Linked DNA regions of Oryzias latipes. The protein of the gene in region 1 purifies or fractionates together with the protein of each later gene. This does not show direct contact. Links are inferred from orthologs where the notes say so. Each region holds a gene or a part of one and is shown in the gene's direction. Other genes may lie near its edges.

Region 1 (10,383 bases):
CAAGACAAATGAAAAAACTTTATAGCATTTTGTTTGTGGACAAGTTGAAATATGATGGGTGGTACATACAATCTTCTCCAATTCTAAAATGACTTGTATAGGCCTCTCATTTGTTTTTAATTCTGGCTCTGAAAGAGTCAGTGCCTCACCAGCCACAACCTTCACTGCACGTCACTGCTCCTCCATGTGTTCCATGCATTGTAATGACATAGACAGACACTGCTCCATGTTGCGATCAGGCTGAAAACATTTGGTGGCCCCTCCCACATGTGACTGGGGCGTCACGCTTATGAACATATTTTTGGACAGGTGCTAAGGCAAGAGAAAAGTATCATAAATCTCCAGGAAATGTGGTGTAAATGGTGGTGTTTTGACCATCAAAATTTCCAGTTTCCAGAGCAGGTTGCAGGTTGACTCTCACCCGTCTATCGTTTTTATTGTTTTAAGCATCTTTTTAATGTTTTTAAATCCTGTAACATCTTTCATGTTGCTTTTACTGATCATTCTCTTGTGGTTTGGGTCTTCTATGTGAAGGATTTTTAATCAAGAAGTGCGTATTGGCATTTTATTTCGGTTTTAACGATTGATGTTGGTTTTAAGGATGTTTTGAGGTTCTTTTGGACCCATCTTAGACAAAACGTTTTAGTTCTCTTTGGCAATGGTGGTAAGAGTGAAATTAAGCTTTTGTGCCAGCAGTACACTCACATTACTGTTGATTTATTAATGACTTGGAGGCTGATATGGTGGGCTTGAAATCTTTGAGTGAGTCCACTGAAAATCAAGGATATATTGAACTCCTCAAATCGAGGAAGGGGGACTCTGGATGTTCAGGGAGGCACTGGTTCAGTCTCGGTTTCAGGATGTCTCTGAAATGGATGCTCCCTCTAGTTTATTTTTGGTCTGGAGAAGAAGCATGGACAGATGAAGGTGATGCACTCCTTATTGTGTGACACAGGAGAGGAGCTGTTTGAACTTGACCAGAGCACATTGGGCGAGCCAATGACTTGCTGTATGACGACATGCAGAAAGCATGGACGGAAAGCTGGGCTCCAAACACTGGCTGTGGACTTTTATTCCTCATTTTACACCAGTGAGTGTGATGATGATGGCAGCCTGTTGAAGGAGTTCTGCAGTGGACTGCCTCAAGTGTCTGAGGAGATGAACTCTCAGCTGGATTGGCCTCTCCTGCTTCCTGAACTGCATGCTGACCTTCAGAGCATGAAGGGCCGGAAGGCTCCTGGGATCAATGGCCTCACTGTGGAGTTTTACAAGGCTTTCTGGGACATCCTTGCTCCTGAAATCTTGGAGGTATTCAATGACTGTCTGCTCTCTGGCTCTCTGATGTCCTGTCACAGAGCTGTTGTTGCTCTCTTGTCAAAAAAAGGAAATCTCCAAGACATAAAGAACTAGCAACCCGTCTCTCTGCTGTGTGTAGACTACAAGATTTTATCCAGGGCTCTCTTCAATAGGCTGAGGGATGCTGTGGAGCAGGTTATCTACCGGGACCAGACCTACTGTGTCCAAGGTAGGCTCATGGTTGATAACGTTTTTCTAAATAGAGATGTTTAGGAAGTCTCTCAGCTTTTGGGTCTACGATCTGGTCTGATTTCACTGGACCAGGAAAAGACTTTCGACTGAACAGAGCTGTAAAGTTATTGAGAAGTTTGGGTTCAGCACTGGTTTCATTGCTAAAATTTGAGTATTTTATGCTGAGATGGAGAGTGTGCTGAAGGTAGAAGCAGTCTGTGTGCTCCTTTTAGAGTACCGTAGGTTGCGGCATACGGCAGGGCTGTGTTATATCCGGCATGCTCTACGCTCTCTCCCAGGAGCCCCTCCTCCATGAGATCTGTGCAAGTCTTGAAGGTTTGTGTTTTCCTGGTTTCAGTGGAAACATTTTTTTATCAGTTTATGCTGATGGTGTTATTGTTTTTGTGAAACATCAGGCTGATGTGAATGTACTGCTGCACACAATACCTGCTTTTTGTAAATTGTCATCTGCCAGGGTTAACTGGCACAAGCCTGAAGCCCTTGCCGTGGGAAGGTGGCAGGACGGTCTCCGGGCTCTCCCTTCAAATGTCATGTGGAAGAATGATGGTGTAAAGTGCCTGGACGTTTTTCTGGATGGTCCTGCCATGGTCAAAAAGAACTGGGAGGATGTTTTCAACAAACTGGAGGGGAAGATGCAGCTAATCAACTTCTTTTGGGACAGTCTACACTGGGCGCCACAAGGAATGTTTTTCTACCTAGGGAGAAGGGGGGACAGGGCCTAGTGCACCTGGTCAGCAGTACTGCCACCTCCAGGATCCAGGTCCTGCAAAGGTTTTTGACTGGGCCAATGAATTTGATGTGGAGGGAACTGGCTAGCTGCATATTAAAATGTGTGAGCTGTCTGAGGGTGGATGTCACTGTTTTTAATGGACACCAAGCTTTTAAATTTACGTAGGTTGCCTCCCTTTTATCAGGGTGTTTTTAAGTCTTGGCACCTTTTTAATGTTGTGAAACAAAAAAAAAAAAAAACTCTCCCTCTCTGTTTTGGCTCTTGAAGGAGCCTTTGATCTTTGGGGCGGGGTTAGACATTTGTGATGACCTGCCCGCCCCTGGACTTCAGGGTCTGGAGTTCTGACTTTGGAACAGCTAGTGACTGCAAAAGGTCACAATGCATTGCGTTTGAACAACTTCTGAAAAGCAGATGTATTTAAATGTATGTTATAAAATAAATTTTAACGTTTTCATCTTCAGAACACAGTGGATTTATAAATGGTTGTCGCAAAATGCTCATATCAATGAGATTTTCACATTGTGAAATCGATTACATCATATACGCCGTTTAAAAAAAGAGTGAGTATGGTGTCCGAATTGCTTTTAAAATCCAGGGCTCTACTTAGTCGTGCACTATATCGTTTTTTAGTAGTCAGGGATAAGGGTGGATCTGGACACAGCCACCGATTTTTGCTTCCGGAGTGGAATTCCGTCTGCTATTTATTTTTCTGCAGCTAGGTACTGGAAAATTAACAAATCTTCCACCACCACATTAATGAACTTTTTTCACCTAGACACAGGCCAATGTATTTGTTAGGTATGAAGAGATAACAGAATTACAGGGAAAATAGAACATTAGTTATTAAAGATTATCAATATCATTTTATTATAGAGGATATTCTTAACAAGTTGGTATTTTTTTATTTTTAAAAATTTCTCTATATTTTAACATATTGACGTTTTTCTCAAATTCTGGTTGCATCTCCAAAGTAAAATGAAATTGCCAATACTTGTTTTCAACAATTTGATTATACTGTTGTACGCAATGTTTGGTAATATTATATACAATACATATTTGTGCGCATAAAAGGCACAATTCCCGTTATTGTTGCTAAGACTTTTCTAAATATTTTTATATAATAATAATAACAACAACATCAACAATAATGATAATCCTGAAGTAAAAATAAAAAGATGGATTCCAAAACTTTGAAGATTTACATTTGTAAAAACGGTTTATCAATAAAGATTTTGGCGGAAAAAGTGCAACTGTCGCGTAATTACGTCATCTTTAAGCTACACAAGTGTGGCTGACAGCAAGAAGCCACACGTTTACAGGAGACTTTATTGTTGCTGGGATAAACGTCCTATCTACATTTGATCCCAGAAGATGTCTTCACTCCTCAAAGTGGACAGTGAAATTAAAACCAAGGTGATGTTTGTCTGAACGGCCCCTGCGCGTGTTATTGTGGGAATTAGCCTGCTAGCATTTTGCGGCATGTTGTGGAGTCTTTGGTTAGCTTTAGCGCTAGCTAGCAATGTCTAACCGGTATGTTTCCCGCCTGCTGCAATTTATCTGTCAAAACTTATCACAGGTGCTGCGACAGACTGGTAAAATGCTTCAAATGGGTGGAATTAAACGTCTTATTGCGTGCTTGTTATGTTTAATTGATAGTTTGAGACAGAAGACCACATGTCAGGAAGGCCTTAGCCTCCACTGTGGCTAAGCTACAACCGACCCACCGGCGTCATCATGCTACAACTTTATATCGACTCCTTGTTGCCCTGATCAGTATTTAAACTAACTTTAAAGAGCGTGTCGTTTATCAAATTTAAGCAAATGAAAAAAATGCGAACTACGGAGAGACTTATTCATTTAGAGACTCTAATAATATAATAGTTCCCTAAAGAAATAACTACAATAAGTTTAGGTTTAAAAAAAAGGTTTAGTCTGTGTTGGTGCACATGAATATAAACCTTTTATAAGTAATATTTATGGTTTATTTCTGTAGCTTTTATATGTACGTTTCTATCTATGATAGCAAGATTAAAGAAACATGTGCTTTTTAGATTATGTTAAATCTGTTTTATTTTACTGAAATATTGATTCTTTTTTCTTCTTAAAACTGCTTTGATCATATAAAAGTATGTAGTTAATCAAAAGTTGATCTTACTTGCATTCTTTAATCTTAAAAATAATAATAGTAAAATAATCTATCGTTATTTTACTGTAAATTTTATCCATAACATAATTAAACTTTGAAGAATGAAAATCGATTATGGCTGTGTTTTATTTTTTCAACTAACCTTATAGTAGAAAATAAATTCTCACTGAGAAACACATGTTCGTGGGATGTACTGATGCTGAACTTTTGTCTAAATATTTATTATTTTACAGGTTGATGCATTCAGGGAACGGATCACAGCAGAAGTGAGATTTGCATTTGGAATACTTTTTTTTCTATTTTTTTTTTATTTAAACCCCCTTTTTTAAAGAACAGTATTAGTATTAAAGTTTTTTTCTATTTGCTTCTCTCTTAGGCAGAGGATCTAGTTGCAAATTTCTTTCCAAAGAAATTACTGGAACTTGATTCTTTTCTTAAGGTATGTTTTATCCTTTGTAATCTTAGTTGTTCAGTATGAAACTTTCTTTAACTACAGTTTTGACTCTAACTACTGTTGGCACAGTAAAAAAAAAAAAAAGTGTAATCTGATTACAAAAAAAGAACAAATTTGGTTCCCCCCCCCAGGATCCAAGCATAAACATTGTTGAGCTGAAAGACATACACTCAGAGATTAACCTGACAGTACCCGACCCCATCCTAATCCCAAACCTTCACGACGGACTGGAGGCAGTGAGTTGTGGATTTTTACAGCACTTCCTTTTAACTAATTTGTGTAGAAAAACTTCTAATTTTGGGGAATCTTTTCCACAGCAAAACGCCAAAAAGAGGAAGCTTGAGGATGGGAGTGGAGAGGACAAAAGTAAGGACTGTTTTCATTTTCAAACTCATGTCAGAGTGGACTGTGTGCCTGGTAACTAACTTAACTTTCTTTTATTTCCAAGTGACCGGAACCAAAGTCTTTGTCATGCCTGGTGGAATGATGAAGAGCAATGGGAATCTTGTTGATCTCATAGAAAAGGTCAAGCCGGAGATCAGGACGCTCATAGAGAAATGTAACACAGTAAGTTGCCTTTGCATGTATTAATGTCTTAACGCTTAAATGTCTACAGGCACCTCTGCATTGGCCCTGATCTGAAGTCTTATGATAAAAAACTGGGTGAAAAAATGTTGGCAACCCACATTTTTTGTTTTTGTCTTTTCCTCTAAATTCAATCTTCAGGTCAAAATGTGGGTTCAGCTGCTCATCCCAAGGATAGAGGATGGCAACAACTTTGGAGTCTCAATTCAGGAGGAGACAGTAGCCGAACTCCGAACAGTTGAAGGAGAGGCAGCCTCTTACCTCGACCAAATATCGAGGTAAATCAAACACTTTAGAGAGCAAAATACGAACTTTGTAGCATCAGTGCTTAGTTGTTTTGGTTTTTTTGGTCATGTTTTGATTGAATATGTTCTTTTATTCTCATTTTCTAGGTACTACATAACGAGAGCAAAGCTGGTTTCAAAAATAGCAAAATATCCGCATGTGGTAAGTAAATGTCCTTCAGTAGGGATGTGGATGAAAATGGTTTGGTATTTTGTTCCTGTTGCTGTAAAAAAATGGATGCTTTTAGAAGCATTTCAAAATAGTCATTGGAAAGCTAGGGATTAATAATTAATTTCTGTAACTAGCTGTTTAAAAAAAATATTGATTTGGAAAAACACCCTTCACTAAAAACTGAACATGTTCCTGTAATTTTTTTGAGCAATTTGTTACAAGCTACTTATTAAGAATGTATCAGGAGTTTTGCACTGAAGCTCAGAGGAAGATAGGGTTATTGATAAAAAAACAAACAGATTTGCACCGCACAGATCAGTAGTTTCTAAATAACAGAAATGCATAATTGAGAAAAGTAGTGATGGAGTGAGGAAGTTCTGGTGCTCCTTTTTAACTAAATAGAAAAAAATTAAAATGCTTTTAAAAGTTACAATGAGGATATCTGGTGGCCAAACCTAGGTACTGCATTAAGTCTGAGCCACACAGAACATTTTTGATTCCATTTCCCATTAGCAACAAAATTGAACAAAACTTCCTATTGATTCATTTGTGTTTGTTAATTAGTTATCAGTTAGTTATTTGTTAGTTTGTGACTGTAAAGCGCTTTGGGCCTTCGAAGAAGGTAGAAAAGCACTATATAAGTATACGCCATTTACCATTATTTAGCTAAATAAATAAACACTTGTTGCTAGGGACCTGAAGCCTGTTGGCAGAGCAAAATTCAAGCTTAAAAGCAGTTAAAAGCAGTGGAATACATACTGCTAAAAAATACTCATTAAAAAGCAATAGATGGATTAGTTGCATTCCATAAATCTCGACTAAAAAACAAGGTCTAGCTGTAACAAAGTTGTGATTTGATTTATTGGGGTGAACTGTAAAAGTCAGTCTGCAGAGCGGCAGTAATTCCCCTCTGAGTTGTAGGTGGGACTTTTGGCACTGAGTAAGTACGCCCGCACTTCCCGTCACCTATCTGTTTACATACCCTCCTGCTAGTTTACAGCCCCTCACGCCCCCCAACCTAACATTACCCATGCAACAAAGATGACGAGCAGTATTGGAGCTATCCAGCCGCACAGTTTTGAGCTGGATGCCGGCTCGCACGAGGAAAATCAAAGATGTAGATGGATCTAGTCGTCTACAATTAATCAGAATGGGGCAGAGCAGAGAGGTTGTGGCCTGCCCAACGTATCTTCTAAGTCACACCTACAAGCTTTCTCCAACGGCTTCTGTTTTACAACAATTTGAAACAAGAAACACTCAGTAAGGAAATTTTAATCTTGATATTTTTTATTAATGGCCTCCATCAGAAAAATGGCACAAGAACATGTTAAAAACACCAAAAACTTCTACATAAATGCATCACTTTCACGATTACAAGGATATTTTTACAGTTTAGCATCACTTCAAAGTCAAATATCCTTAACTCCTTGTTGTTTCCACTTGCAGTTGAAACCAGATTAACCAGTTATTTAATATAAATTACTTCTGTCATTTTATCTTTCCTCTTTACAAACCAGGAGGACTATCGGCGCACGGTAACAGAAATTGACGAGAAGGAGTACATCAGTCTGAAAATCATCGTATCAGAGCTCAGAAATCAATACGTATGTTGCCGCCTGGGTAAAACTTTCCACTCAGCTCTGATGCTAAAATAATCCACATTTGTTTCTCCATCCAGGTAACGTTGCACGACATGATCCTGAAGAATATTGAGAAGATCAAGAGGCCAAGAAGCAGTAACTCAGACGCATTGTACTGATGGAGATCGCCGCCCCGTCCTTTCAGTCTCGTGTTATGCCTGATGTTGAACTACAGTAGCCTGGCTTTTTTTTCTCAAAGTTCAAGACATTCATCGTGTTCAATACAATCAGATGTTCAGTATGTAAACAAAGCTACATTTTTGTTCTAATTGTAAAATATTTTGTTGTTTTAAACCGTTCAAAGACTTAAATATCCTCCAAGGTAATGGATCATAAAGCGCTATGTATTTTTTAATTTTAATTAAATTTCTCGTCCTCAGACTGTTATAGTGCCTCTGTTTGTCATATTTGTTCTATGTCTCAACAGCAAATTCATTTTGTCTTGTGTCCAGCCTCTGGTGTTTTACGAGGAACTGCAACACAAAGTGGGTCTGGAGTTTTAGAGTTTAGAGCACTCGTTAGGCTTATCAGATTGAGGCTTTTTAGTGGAAATGTCTGCCACCAAAGCATCGCATTGTTGGCACAGTGCTGAATAAAATCCTTCTTCGTATGGTCCTGAATTTTTTATTTTGTTTAAAAAGATTTTCCATCCAAGTAAGACCTGATCAAATCCTTAAAATGATCGACAACCATGGAGGAGTGACAACAGTGCCTCGTGTTTCGGGAATTACTTTAAAAAATCTGACCAATTCCAGCAGATCCATAAATCACTTTGTGGATTTCTTCTGGGGGCTTGTCCAGGAAGAAGTCCATCCTTGCCCTGAAGTTAAACTTTAGGAATCTCCGTAACACTGCAAAGGACAAATCAAGAACAGAATATAGTTTCATGTGCTAAAATTATTTTTCCCATTTTAATAATGCTTACATTTGCAGCATTTTTTAAGTAATTTGTTGGCTCTTTATTAAACGTTGTCCTTCAGAACCCCAGCTTGGCAGCGGATCTGAAGCATAATGCCTAGTAAAGACTCGATCATTGTTACGACACATCCAAAACATTTTCTTTAGCTTATTACGTATTTATTAACATTTGACCCAATTGATGACACAAAAATTGTACTATGTAAATATGTACATATAGTTAGTTTAATCAAGTTATTGTGTTTTATTTCAAAGGAATTGAAATGACTTGAGGATAAAAATATTGACTTTTTGTAGGTGCAGGTTTGTTTTGAACTTTGGGTGAAAATTATTTAATTTTTTTTTAATCCAATGTTCATTTGTAATTATGAAGTTGTTTTTATACAAACTTCATAAGTTAAAGGAAAAAAAGCCAATTTATAAAGCCATTTATAAATTTCTGTTTCTATTTTTTATCTTTACTTTTTAGGTTGTTAGTGTGGTACTGGGTGATAAAATAAAAATTGAAGCTTAATTTGTTCTTTATTATATCAATAGGAATTATCTATTAGGGTTTGTATTCTTACATACTCTCATGATTGCTAATTTTTAGCTCATAAATACACTATTCGCTTATTGCAAATTTATTAAATTTAGCTTTTCTTTTTTACTTACAGAAAGCCCTTTAAATTGTTGCTGATAAAAAAATCAATTCTTACTGTATATACTGTAGTAAGGTTAATGTGAAAGGAAGTCTTTAGCCTGCTTAACCGCGTACTAGTGGCCTTGTCATTATATGGTACATTATATGGATTTTAATAGTTTCATTTTTACTGAATTTCTCCAATTACACAGAACTAATCTATGTTTATGTGTTTCTAAAGCATGCTTTTATTCACAAACCCGTTCACTGGGTTTTTCTGTTTTGTCCAGCAGGTGGCGCTCTTAAGCTTCAGTTGATGTAGTCATTTTGTTGTTGATTTATTTTCTGCAGGAGAATTTCCATCTCAATGGGAATTCTCTCCATTGCTGCTCAGTGTTTGATCAGCGTAAAAGCCTTATTATGAAAGTTAATTAACCCTTGTGCTATCCTAGGCACTTTAACATTGGGAGTTGGGTCATCTAGACCCACTAAAAAGTGCGTTGAACCTTTTTTCTTCAATGATTTGTGATCTTCACTGGTGTCCATGGATTACATGAAATCCTCTCCACCTTTATCCACCTTTGTATGTTAGGGAGAACACGTCAATGTAATGGTGGGGTCATCTAAGATAGGACAAGGGTTAAACTACAATCAATTGGTTCTTTATGGTAGAAACATATCATCGTCATTCAAAATGATTCAAAAAATTACTTTAACACAAGAATTGGAAAAAAAAACTTTAATAAATATTTTTTGCTTGTTTTTGTAATTGATTTTAAAGGAAAAAATAGTTTATTCAAAAAACAGTTTGCTTTATTTTTTTAAAATTATTTTTTTTAACAATACTAAAACATGTCTCTTTTTTAGAGGGGAAAAAAAAGTAGTTTTTTTTTTTTTTTGTCAATTTTGTGCCCAAGAGCCTTACTGAAGCCCTGGTTTCATGAAGTGTACCATATTTATTTAGCTGATCTTGTTACTACATCTGCAACACTGCAATGTCCAACAGGTATCTTTTCCACTTAAAACGTGCCTACACAATTTCTTACACATATTGCTTTTAATCTTCTTCAAAAGATTTAATAAAAAAATATATTTTTTTGTAAAAACAGCTTCTTTTTATAAAAAAGAAACCCATCTTTCTTTTTGAGCAAATGATACGATACCCGCCAACGACATTTTCAAAATGTATCTAGAAATATATTTCTAGATACTATATACATATTTGCGGCTTGAAGAATTTGCCCCACCCCACCCAAAAAAACAAAAACAAAACACATGTTTTAT
Region 2 (10,497 bases), on another chromosome or scaffold:
AAAGTTGTCTTCACAGACCCCCGCTTCATCCTGCTGCTGCCCACTGAACCCTCAACTGACTTTTGTGTGGAGTAACAGAGTCTACTGTCAGTAACAATCAAAAATCACAAGAATCTGGATGTTAGAGCCTCTAAAAACCTAAATAAAGTCTGATGTATAGAGATAATAATGACCTGCCAAGATTTGAGAAAATCTATCAATCATTTCAACTGTGTGTGAGTGTGATTGTTTGTTTTTGTTTATTGGTTTTTTTTTGTTTTTTTTTTGGAGGAGGGGTTGCTGGAGCCTATCCCAGCTGGGCAAAGGCAGGGTTCACCCGGAACAGGTTGCTAGTCTGTTGCAGGCCAACATGGACAATTTAGTATGTTGCTGGACTGTGGGAGGAGCCTGGAGAAAATCCACACACATGTGCGCCCATGTGTCATAGGTTATGTCCAAATTCCTTCACTACGCACTATATAGTGCACTAAAGTGCATTCACAATTTTGTAGTGCTGTCCGAATCTACAATTCCTAAATCCAGTGCCATAGAAATTTCCCAGAAGTCTCAGCGAAAAACCAGTGTGCATTGATGCTCACTAGATTGGTAGACTTAGACCACAATGCATTGCGTCAGAACAAATTTTGACAAATTTATATTTTATATTTTAAGTAAACCATCACTGTTTTTATATTCAGAACACAGCGGATTCTTAAAAAGCGGTTGCAACACGTCAGGATTTGAACCAGGACCCTCTTTCTGTGAGGTGAGGGTGCTAACCACTACACACCGAGCAGCCTGTTTGTGAAATTCAGAAAGGAAAAACCTCTGAAATATCAAAGCAAAACCACTGTTGCAGACGCCCTGGAGCAAATCAAACTATTTATCCATTCTTAGAAGTATTCTGGATTTCATGGAAATGCATGAAGTGAAAGAATTAAAAGCAATAAAAGTTATGATGGAAGCAAATTCAAACGCTTCAAAATTTTGTTTGAAACTTTTGAATGTTGTGTAATGCGCGTGTTGCTCTGGGGGAATACGTTGTAAAAAAATGACCCTTTGGTGTCTTTTCTTGTCCGTCACATGACGCTGTGTCACACAGATGGACTCCTGCTCCTCATGACCACAGAGAGGGTTAAAAAAAAACGGTTCGGAAAAAAGGAAAGCTGCCATCAAAGGAAATCTTCAAACTTCAGTTCCAGGAGCTGAGGTCAGCCTCAATCAGAAAATTAATGCGATGCGCTCCGGTTCTGCGGCCCTATTGTGTACACATTTCACGACATTTGCGCCCGGAAAAAGATTATAAAAATGATGATTGGAGTTCCTAAAATGACTCCGTTTAACTGCATTCATAATTCCATTTCAGCTTTAGGTGAAAGGAGTTCGACTGACTCAGAGGCTGCTGTGCATTCATGCAAAGATCAATGGAATCCCTTTTTTTGGCTTCATACCTATTCGCTGTCTATTCGCAGGCGTAGAGACTTCTAACACAAGTAAGCACACAATGTCCGGATTCAACTGAGCCAGAGAGCTTTTTGCCACCAAAATGCCGCATAAGTGCTTTCATCAACACCAGGGAAGTGACGGACGGAAGTGAACTACATCTCTGCAGGACTCTTCTGACGTAAGAGTTTGGCTTTTAGCCGTCAAATGTTCCCTGTTCGGACTCCTGGAACCTCTTCATTTCCTTTGCTGGCTGCACGGTTGCAGTTAACCTCTGACCTGGAATGTAAAAAAAACAGCTGCCAGACGAATGCAAACCTTGGCAAAGATGCCACCTTCCCCAAACATGAGCCCACCCGTGTAAATAAAAACAAAAAAAAAGGCATATTAGCAATGAAGGATTTAGTGCAACATGTGTCTGCATGCATGAAGGATGTGTGGCTGTGGGGGGGGGATTCTGTGCACTAAAAGCACATTTGAAGGCACTCCTCCAAGTCCAGCTTTAATCCTCCAAGTTTGGGCTCACAATGTGGCTTGGACGCATCATGCAGTGACTCAGGCTGCCCTCCATTTGAAAAATTAAATGGTTGGGTGGGGGGGGGGGCTCTTTGGCAGAGTTTAATAAGGGGAAAAAAACCTGCTGAGCTCAGCACAGCCTCTACAATCTTAATCACAGAGGAGGAGGCTGCTGGAGCGTTGATGTAATGGTTGCCGTCGTGCTGCTGCTGCTGCCGCCGCTGCTGCCTTGGCAGAGGAGCGGATCTCGTCAGCACAGTCTCACTAATTCACCCCTCCTCTTTTCCACGTTCCCCCCCTCCTGGATCAAAGATACATCAGATATCATCAACGGAGTGTGGAGGGGCAGAGGCACTGTCTATGGAAAACAACAGAAACAGAAAAAGAGGATCAAAAGTGGAGCCTAATAAGAGGGATCGCCGAAAGCTGGAAGTCCCCGCCTGAAATGTCCCGTTCCCCTCCCCACGCGTGTCCGTCATGTGTCCATGGTTGAAACTTTGTCAGCATTAAGATCCTGACATCAGAATAAATCAGAACACGGTTCATGGAAAAGATTCGATTTTTTTTTCTTTATTTCAAGCATTAATTGTAGTCAATACATTTTAAAAAATCACACATATTTATCAAACTCCTGACAGAAATGATGAAAAGCATAGATGAAAAAGGAAGAAAGACAAAGACACACTTAAGTCACATTTTCTTAATTAAATATAGTGATCATTAACTAAATTCAAGCAGAGCTTGATTTATTGAATGCTTGAAAAAGAGTTGGAAGAAGCAAGTTTATATAATCCCACCCCGACTGAGTTCATTCATTTTGTAGTTTTACATAGTTTTTGAGGAAGTAAAGAAAAGAAGAATGACGCCGTATGTGGCTCATCTATTGACCCCCCTCATTTGGCATCACCTTGAATGAGAAAAAAACTGAAGAGCGTTTTCACTTAACTTTCAATTAATCCAGCCATCAACTTTGATGCTTGAGGATGCTGTGTTATTGCCATAACATTACTTTTCTCAATTTAAATAATGACATTATTTTAGAAAACTTGTAATAGTTAAAGAGAAAATCAGTCAACTTTAAAAGTCTCTTGAGCAGCTCCTCAGGGATTCTTGATAAAGTGGCATCAGTGGAAATGTGGCTGAGGAGAAACCAGACAAACAGACACACAGCTCATGTTTCAAACATGTCACACTCTACGACAGGCAGAGTTGATTCTAAATTACTAACTGAAGCTCTCCTTTAATCAGCATTTAAATAATGTATTGATATTTTTGTTTTCTTTTAAACTGGCTTTATTCAAACAAGAAAAGCCTCTCATCAGGTTAACTTGATCTCTCTGAAAGCGCAGACAAAAGCACAATAAGGTGCAGTTTACCTTTTTATGGCTAAACCGGATTTATCTGAGCTGACAAGACAAGCAACATAAATGCAAACACACAATATGTTTGCAGAAAAACAACTTGAAGCACAAAACCGTGCCATTTCTTGTGACTGAATGATGACACAGATTTTTCATGCCTTTGTCAACATTTTTTATTTTCTAGGTCATTTTCTAAAACAATGTGAAAATTACTGGAGATTAAAAACTGATAAATGCACCTGAAACTCAAAGTGTAGATCAGATGGTAGTTTGTGACTAAATCTTTACATTTTTCCCAAAAAAAAATGCAGGGAGCATGCAAACAACACCTCCAATTGACTGCTGCCATCTAGTGGTCATCTGAAGACACTACCATAGTTGAGCCAAAGGAAACAACGACTGAAGTAAAAGAAAAATATAAAAAAGAATGTTCAAACTTAAGTAATGTAGAATTTTTTTTATCCTCAGAGTAATTCTTACTCCTTAAGATGTAACTGTGTTTTTTAGCCTATCCAAACACAGATTTGTTTTTGCACAAATCTAAATGTGCTAAAGGATTATAGTTTCTTTCAACAAACTGCATGAACGCACTTGAGAAATTCCTCCATTATTTGTTACTTTAGGAAAATACTTATTTACAATGGAAGTGTAAAGACAGCAGGAAAATGGAAAAGGGGTGGGCTTTAATAAACTCATGCCCACATTTTGTTAGAAATATTTTCATTCTTTCGTTTTTATTGTTATGATGTCATTTAATGTTTTTATTTATTTATTTATTTATTTTTTATTATTTAAACAGTATTTCCTTGCTGGAATTGTATCTGCATGTTAGAAGATAAAATCAATAAATTAATCCCCCCAAAAAGTTGTTACCACAATACAAACTTGAATGAAGAAACAGTCAACCCTGACGTTGGAATTAATAACATTGTTTTGTTTTGTTTTGCTTCAATACTCTTTATTTAGGATTCTTTTTACCAAGAAATGTTGATGCAACCTCTTTCTCCATTTCTCGGCTTTCCTTCTTCAAATTCATGTGTAAAGAAACCGCAGCGGGGTAAACGGTGACTATAACACAAATATGACAAATGCTGCTGCTGTTGTTCGCCTGTCAGCACATCCCTTCAGGGGTCACCTCAGAGATCAGCTTTCAAATAAATAAATAGACTACAGGGATGATGTGGAAATGATGTGAATTTAACCTGTCTGCTCTGAAAGCTCGTTAAGTAATTGAACACAAACTTCCTACAAAATCACCAGAGGGTGAAATATTCAGACTGAAAACAATATAAAATCATGCAAAACTTTATTATTTATTTGCAGATTTTTGCAGGTTTGCTGCACTGTTTTTTATCTTTGTTTTAGTTGATTAAAGTTTTAGAACAATAAAACTACTAACAGTTTTCTTCATGTCCAGATACAACTGTCATTAAATCAGTGTCTTTAGCACAATCACATCTCAACCATGTGGTCCAGATAGTAAATTATGAAATACCACCATTGCAGAATAAGATGCCGAAATCAATCTTTGGTTTGAAGCATGTGCAGTGACATTTGGATTTTCTTTTCCTTTGGTAAAGACATGCATGTTTCACGCTTAACCTAGTACTGTTGCACAACTAGACATGCTTGTTTTAAAAATATTAAACATCAAAATTGATAGAAAAACATTTACTCTTTAGATACTATTTGACCATAAAGACTTTTATAGAATTTGTTTCTTGTGAAATTATTGTTTATTGTTTTTAAAGTGATGGTTTTTGTACCCCAAAAAATGTTTAAAAGGAAAAAAAAGGGAAAAAATAAGGAAAAGAATTATTAATATTAAGTATTTCAGTGGGGGTTCAGTGTCTTGCCCAAGTATTAAGCATCTTACACAATATTTTAAATAATATGGTTTTTAATTAGTCTATTAACTGGTATGGACGCCATTAGGTTAGTAACGTTTTTTTATATTTTTAAAGTTTAGAAGAATTGTCTAACTAGTATTTTAATTCTGACGTATTACTTGTGTTTTGTTTATTATGTTGACATTTAAACCACGAGTCTGTTTGTTTGTGTTTTAATCCTATTCTATTCTATTCTATTCTATTCTATTCTATTCTATTTTATTCTGCTCTATTCTATAGCTCTGCTGGTTCTGTTCGGCTCTTCAAAGGCATCGATCATTGAAATCATCGATCGTTTGAAATCGGCTTTCTGCTGCTTTTCCCTGCCGTCTGCCGAGGAACCCAGGAAACTAAATCGAGATCCCGGCGCAGGCGGAGGAAGCGAGACTTTAGCAGAGATGGTAAGTGTGAGGGAAATTTAACGACAAATCCTCCGTTCGGTACCAGAAAACGTTTCTAGGAATGTAAGAAAACGCATTCGATCCTAAACTGTTACTTTTTAAGCCTCAAGAAATTGTTAAAATATTTCCATGCTAAAGTTAGCTTAGCTAAGTTGGTCTGCACTGTGAGTAAGCAAAACAGCCGCTAACATTAGCTTTAAGTATTAGCTCACTCTAAACAATAGAAGTTAGTTAAGTACTTTAAACTGTTAAAGTAAAACAGGTTTAATAGTGAGAAAACATTGCAAATAGCAGATTAGAAATGTAATATTTTTGGAATACCTTGTTGCGAACAAGCTAATCCTAACAGCTAGCTAAAAGTTAGCATCGGGAGTCCAGTCATGTCTTCACTTTCGTTTTTCTTCAGCTCTTCGCTTTCTTCTAGATTTAAAAACACAACGTAGTCCGTCAGTTATGGAGTTACAGCCATTGGGATCATTTCACGTATCATGATGATGATATTCATATTAAATCATTTGATTTTATTACAGATAATAAGAACCGAACTAAATTAGTAGAAGCAGCAGGTAGCTAGCTGGTTTGCTGCATCCACTGCTGGATTCAATCGTTTTTCTTGAGGATGACACGAACAGGTTGATTAATTATTCAGTCTGTAGTAATTGAAACGCGTCCTTCCAATCCTTATGAGACGTTCTGACCGCGAACACGGTGCAGTTGGTTTGGAGTCTAGAGACGAGAACACTAACCGTACTAATGCAGGACAACTATGTAAGCCTGGCTGTAGATCATGAGAAGGATGCTGTGTTATTATCATAACGCGCGTTTGTGTTCCCTCCTAGTTCCGCAATCAGTACGACAACGACGTAACGGTATGGAGTCCTCAGGTAAGCTGCCCTTTACTTACTGGAGCGTGTGTTGTTGTTTGTGTGTTGGTTTTGTCCGGCTGTGTGTAGTTTGACTGTTTGGTTTGTCGGTGCAAACGCAGGGCCGCATTCATCAGATCGAATATGCCATGGAGGCTGTGAAACAAGGTTCTGCAACCGTCGGACTGAAGTCCAGAACTCACGCGGTCCTGGTTGCACTTAAGGTAACGTCACTCAACACGACTAGAACTGCTGCCAGCCTCCATTACGCTGAAACGGCTCTTTTCACGTGCTCAACTCTCCTTTAGTGTTATTTGAGCCTTAACCTCCATGACAGTGTTTGGTTACACCCATTAATATTCATACTAGCCGGCACTTTCCTGTCTTTCTTATTAATTAAAACATGTCGTTAAAGATCTGTAACACACCACACATTACTGTTGTGCCTTTTTGGTCTGCAGAGAGCCCAGTCTGAGCTGGCTGCCCACCAGAAGAAGATCCTTCATGTTGATAACCACATTGGCATCTCCATTGCTGGACTGACGGCGGACGCTCGGCTGCTCTGGTGAGTTGCAGCGACTTCCATGGACCTGAACATTTTTTCCATGTTTTCTTGTGTTAAACTTCTTGTGTTTGGGGAGAAATGTCACTTTTCATGGGTGTCAACTGTACATCTAAACACTAACATTGGTTAATTTATGGCGTTACACAGATGACAAACAGATATAGAAATCACAGGAGAGCAAGGCCCTCTACAAGCTCTTGGTAAAAGTATTTAATATATGAAAGACTGGATGTGCCTCAATTACTTCAGCTGAACAAACACAAAACTGAGGTTATTGCCTTGGCTGATGTTATTCGCATGTATTTACTTGCAACCAGCACAAAAACTGCAGCCAAGATGCGCATTGCCTGCACGCATTTTAAGTGCATCCATTTTTACATTTTGTCGTATTTAAAATGAAAGTTAAAGCTACGCTCCTGGATTGGTGAACAGTGTTCTCTGCGTTTGATCCATCCACTGGAGAAGCGATGAGCTGCAGAAACACATATTTGGAAAATGATGAATAGACACTTTTTGTTGTGTTTGGGGCTAAAGAGAAGTGGTTTGATGTCATATAGAGCTTCAATCTATTCATCTAAAAACCACCAACTAGGCCAGAAACATGGGTGTAGTCATGGATACAGTCCTATGTTTTGATAAATGCATTAAGGCAGTCACCAAATCTGCAGACTAACATCTTAAAAATAGTTCAAGTATTAAAGATCGGATGTCTTGAACAGAGCTTGGAGAAACTAGTTGATGCATTCACGTTTAGTGGACTTGATGACTGTGACAGTGTTTTTACAGGACTAGCAGAAAAACCAATCAGGAAACTGCCTGTAGAGCCGATGAGAGCCCAGTTCACTTTTCTCCTCTCTAATAATGAGAAACAACCAACAGGCAGCTCTCATTCTCTGCCCGGACTACAGAATCCGGAAACAAACAAACGTTGCAGTATGGAGCTCTGTTCTGTAACGATGAAGAAGCAGCTGAATGTTTGCTGTTGGCCTCATCATTAGCAGCATCTACAGTCAAGTGCTGAGCACGAACCTGAGAACGGCCTTTTGTCTGAAGACCAAAACCTTTTCTGTCTTGCAGTAACTTCATGCGTCAGGAGTGCTTGGACTCCAGATTTGTCTTCGACAGGCCTCTCCCCACATCCCGCCTCGTGTCTTTAATCGGCAGCAGTATCCTCTAAAAATACACTCTCCTGTTCAAGGAGCTACGTTACAAGAAACAAGAAAAAGCTGAGTTTGTAAAACTAAGTTGGACAACCAGGAGTTGGGTCTTTTCTGTTAGATTGCTTCCAGAAATGGAAACGGCAGCAGTGATCCTTGACTGAGTTTACAGAAACCCAAATCCCAACACAGAGGTATGGAAGGAGGCCCTACGGAGTGGGACTCCTCATTGCTGGCTATGATGTGAGTACGCTCATGGTTTTAATCTTATTTCTCTCTACATTCAGACAAAAAAAAACCTAAAGCTAACCGTTTTTTCTTTTCTGACTCAGGACATGGGACCTCACATCTTCCAGACCTGTCCATCAGCAAATTACTTTGACTGCAAAGCCATGTCCATCGGAGCGCGCTCCCAGTCTGCACGCACGTACCTGGAGAGGTGCATGGACAAGTTTTCTGACTGTAGGTTTGAGTTTGGAGTTCTCTCCTTCAGCATGTTCAGATGCAACACCTAAAGAACGTCTGTAGTTTCTGATGATTCCTATTTAAAACAATCCTTCAATGAAAAGATTAGTCTGAAATGAAACTGATGAATGTTTTTCTGTCGTCAGGTAATCTGAACGACCTGGTCCAACATGGCCTCCGCGCCCTCAGAGAAACTCTTCCAGCTGAGCAGGACCTGACCACCAAGGTACGCAGCCCCAAGGCCCCCTTATCAGTGTCACAGAGCATTTATGCATGTTCTGAACCTGAGACTCCCTTTCAGAATGTTTCCATTGGCATTGTGGGAAAAGAAATGGAGTTCACCATCTATGATGACGATGATGTTGCTCCGTTCCTGGTTGGACTGGAGGAGAGGCCACAGAGAAAGGTGCAACAGAGAACTTCTTATCACCACCATCAACATCTACTATTTGTTTACGCATCTTAAGCTACGTTCACACCAAACACCATTCTTGCATCAGGAGCGTCCACTTTCAGAGTGGTCAGTGTGCCTTTTGAGCACGTCAGCCAATCAGGGACTCCGCTTTAGCCTGCATGGTGTTGATGAAGATGCAGTCCAAAACCAACATGGACGAGAATCTGATCATTTTCATCCTGAACGTTTTTTATTTTGTACCCCCTCGGACTAAAGCGAGACAGCAAGTCGTCAAACTGGGTCACAGAGAAGCGCTGAGATCGTCTGTCCTTCAGATTAGATGGTGGAAGAGTCTCTGAATGAACCCAAAACATGGAGACGGGATCACAGACACTCTTTAAAAGGAATCGACCTGATCTCTCAACATCAGCCGTGTCTTCCACTGTAAATGAGATATTCTGTCAATGCTTCCAGGCTGGAAGTTGCACACAGTAGCTCCTCCCACACCACACGCTGCAGGAACATCTAGTTTATAAATGGCTTTTTGGCAGTCAAGCAGCACATTTGCTTAGGGAATCGAGCTCAATGCAAACACAGGTGACCATGTAACACATTTCTGTTTGTGTTCCAGGCTGTCCAGCCTGCTGATGATCCTCCTGCTGGAGACGCTCCCGATGAGCCAATGGAGCACTGAGGCAGGAACTCGACCCCACATCCGCATCCTGTCCATCCCGAACCCACTGAGACTTGCTGCAGCACAGAGAATTTCCTCTAGAGGGAAGCTGTCCTAATGTGCCACTGTTTCTCCACAATAGTCTCTACTGACATCAACATGTGATGTTTCTTTTGTATGGGTCAAAGTTCACCATCATACAAGTAATAAATTGTCTTTTTTGAGTTTTGTGTGCACTCCTTTCTAGAATACAAACACACGGGTTTAAGGATGTTTTAGGAAAAGTAAATGGAAATTAAAGCCGTGAGCAGCATAGTGAGGCCCGCAGGCACGACCCACCGTCTTCACTGCCACCCCGCATGGAGAAATTACTGAAAAAACACTTCTTCTTTTTTTCAAAAATAGTGACTTCTCTGTCAGTATTTTACCATAGCAAGCGTTTTAGTTTTTGGTCTCCTGACAAACAGATCTATTTAATTTTGAGAAGATATGTTATAGAAAGATAGTTTAAAGCAGATCCCTTATTTTGATGTAATTATAGTTTGAGAAAACGGTATTTCTAAAGCAGAAATCGTTCAAATAAATGAGGTACTTTCATAGAATATCATAGTTACTGGTGTTCTTTTTGCCATTTGGGGGTTTTGATGTTACTATATTTTAGCAATTGTATGTTTTGCAGCTTTAAGGAAAAGCGTAGATTGTAGGATTGTGTTACTTTTAGCAATTATCCAAATTCTTTTTTAGGACCAGGAAGTCCTTAATGGCAAGTCAAACTAGGGGTTTGAATGACA

The links. Proteins that work in one complex are often made in the same cells at the same time.
Region 2: the proteins of psme3 (region 1) and psma1 purify together in Homo sapiens (affinity purification with mass spectrometry; 5 studies listed by BioGRID and IntAct, with this or other methods). This does not show direct contact. The link is inferred for Oryzias latipes from reciprocal best matches to the Homo sapiens genes PSME3 and PSMA1.

Annotation. Positions count from the first base shown.
Region 1 is NC_019877.2:17,753,722-17,764,104, reverse strand, and holds psme3 (proteasome activator complex subunit 3), read left to right. Parts: upstream 1-3,530; 5' UTR 3,531-3,649; coding exon 3,650-3,691; intron 3,692-4,657; coding exon 4,658-4,690; intron 4,691-4,800; coding exon 4,801-4,863; intron 4,864-5,009; coding exon 5,010-5,114; intron 5,115-5,195; coding exon 5,196-5,244; intron 5,245-5,326; coding exon 5,327-5,445; intron 5,446-5,604; coding exon 5,605-5,741; intron 5,742-5,855; coding exon 5,856-5,910; intron 5,911-7,436; coding exon 7,437-7,523; intron 7,524-7,597; coding exon 7,598-7,678; 3' UTR 7,679-8,174; downstream 8,175-10,383. UniProt on the Homo sapiens protein: Subunit of the 11S REG-gamma (also called PA28-gamma) proteasome regulator, a doughnut-shaped homoheptamer which associates with the proteasome. 11S REG-gamma activates the trypsin-like catalytic subunit of the proteasome but inhibits the chymotrypsin-like and postglutamyl-preferring (PGPH) subunits.
Region 2 is NC_019864.2:7,542,831-7,553,327, reverse strand, and holds psma1 (proteasome subunit alpha type-1), read left to right. Parts: upstream 1-5,414; 5' UTR 5,415-5,586; coding exon 5,587-5,589; intron 5,590-6,428; coding exon 6,429-6,473; intron 6,474-6,574; coding exon 6,575-6,676; intron 6,677-6,913; coding exon 6,914-7,017; intron 7,018-8,094; coding exon 8,095-8,183; intron 8,184-8,346; coding exon 8,347-8,417; intron 8,418-8,506; coding exon 8,507-8,636; intron 8,637-8,785; coding exon 8,786-8,865; intron 8,866-8,940; coding exon 8,941-9,045; intron 9,046-9,664; coding exon 9,665-9,727; 3' UTR 9,728-9,930; downstream 9,931-10,497. UniProt on the Homo sapiens protein: Component of the 20S core proteasome complex involved in the proteolytic degradation of most intracellular proteins. This complex plays numerous essential roles within the cell by associating with different regulatory particles.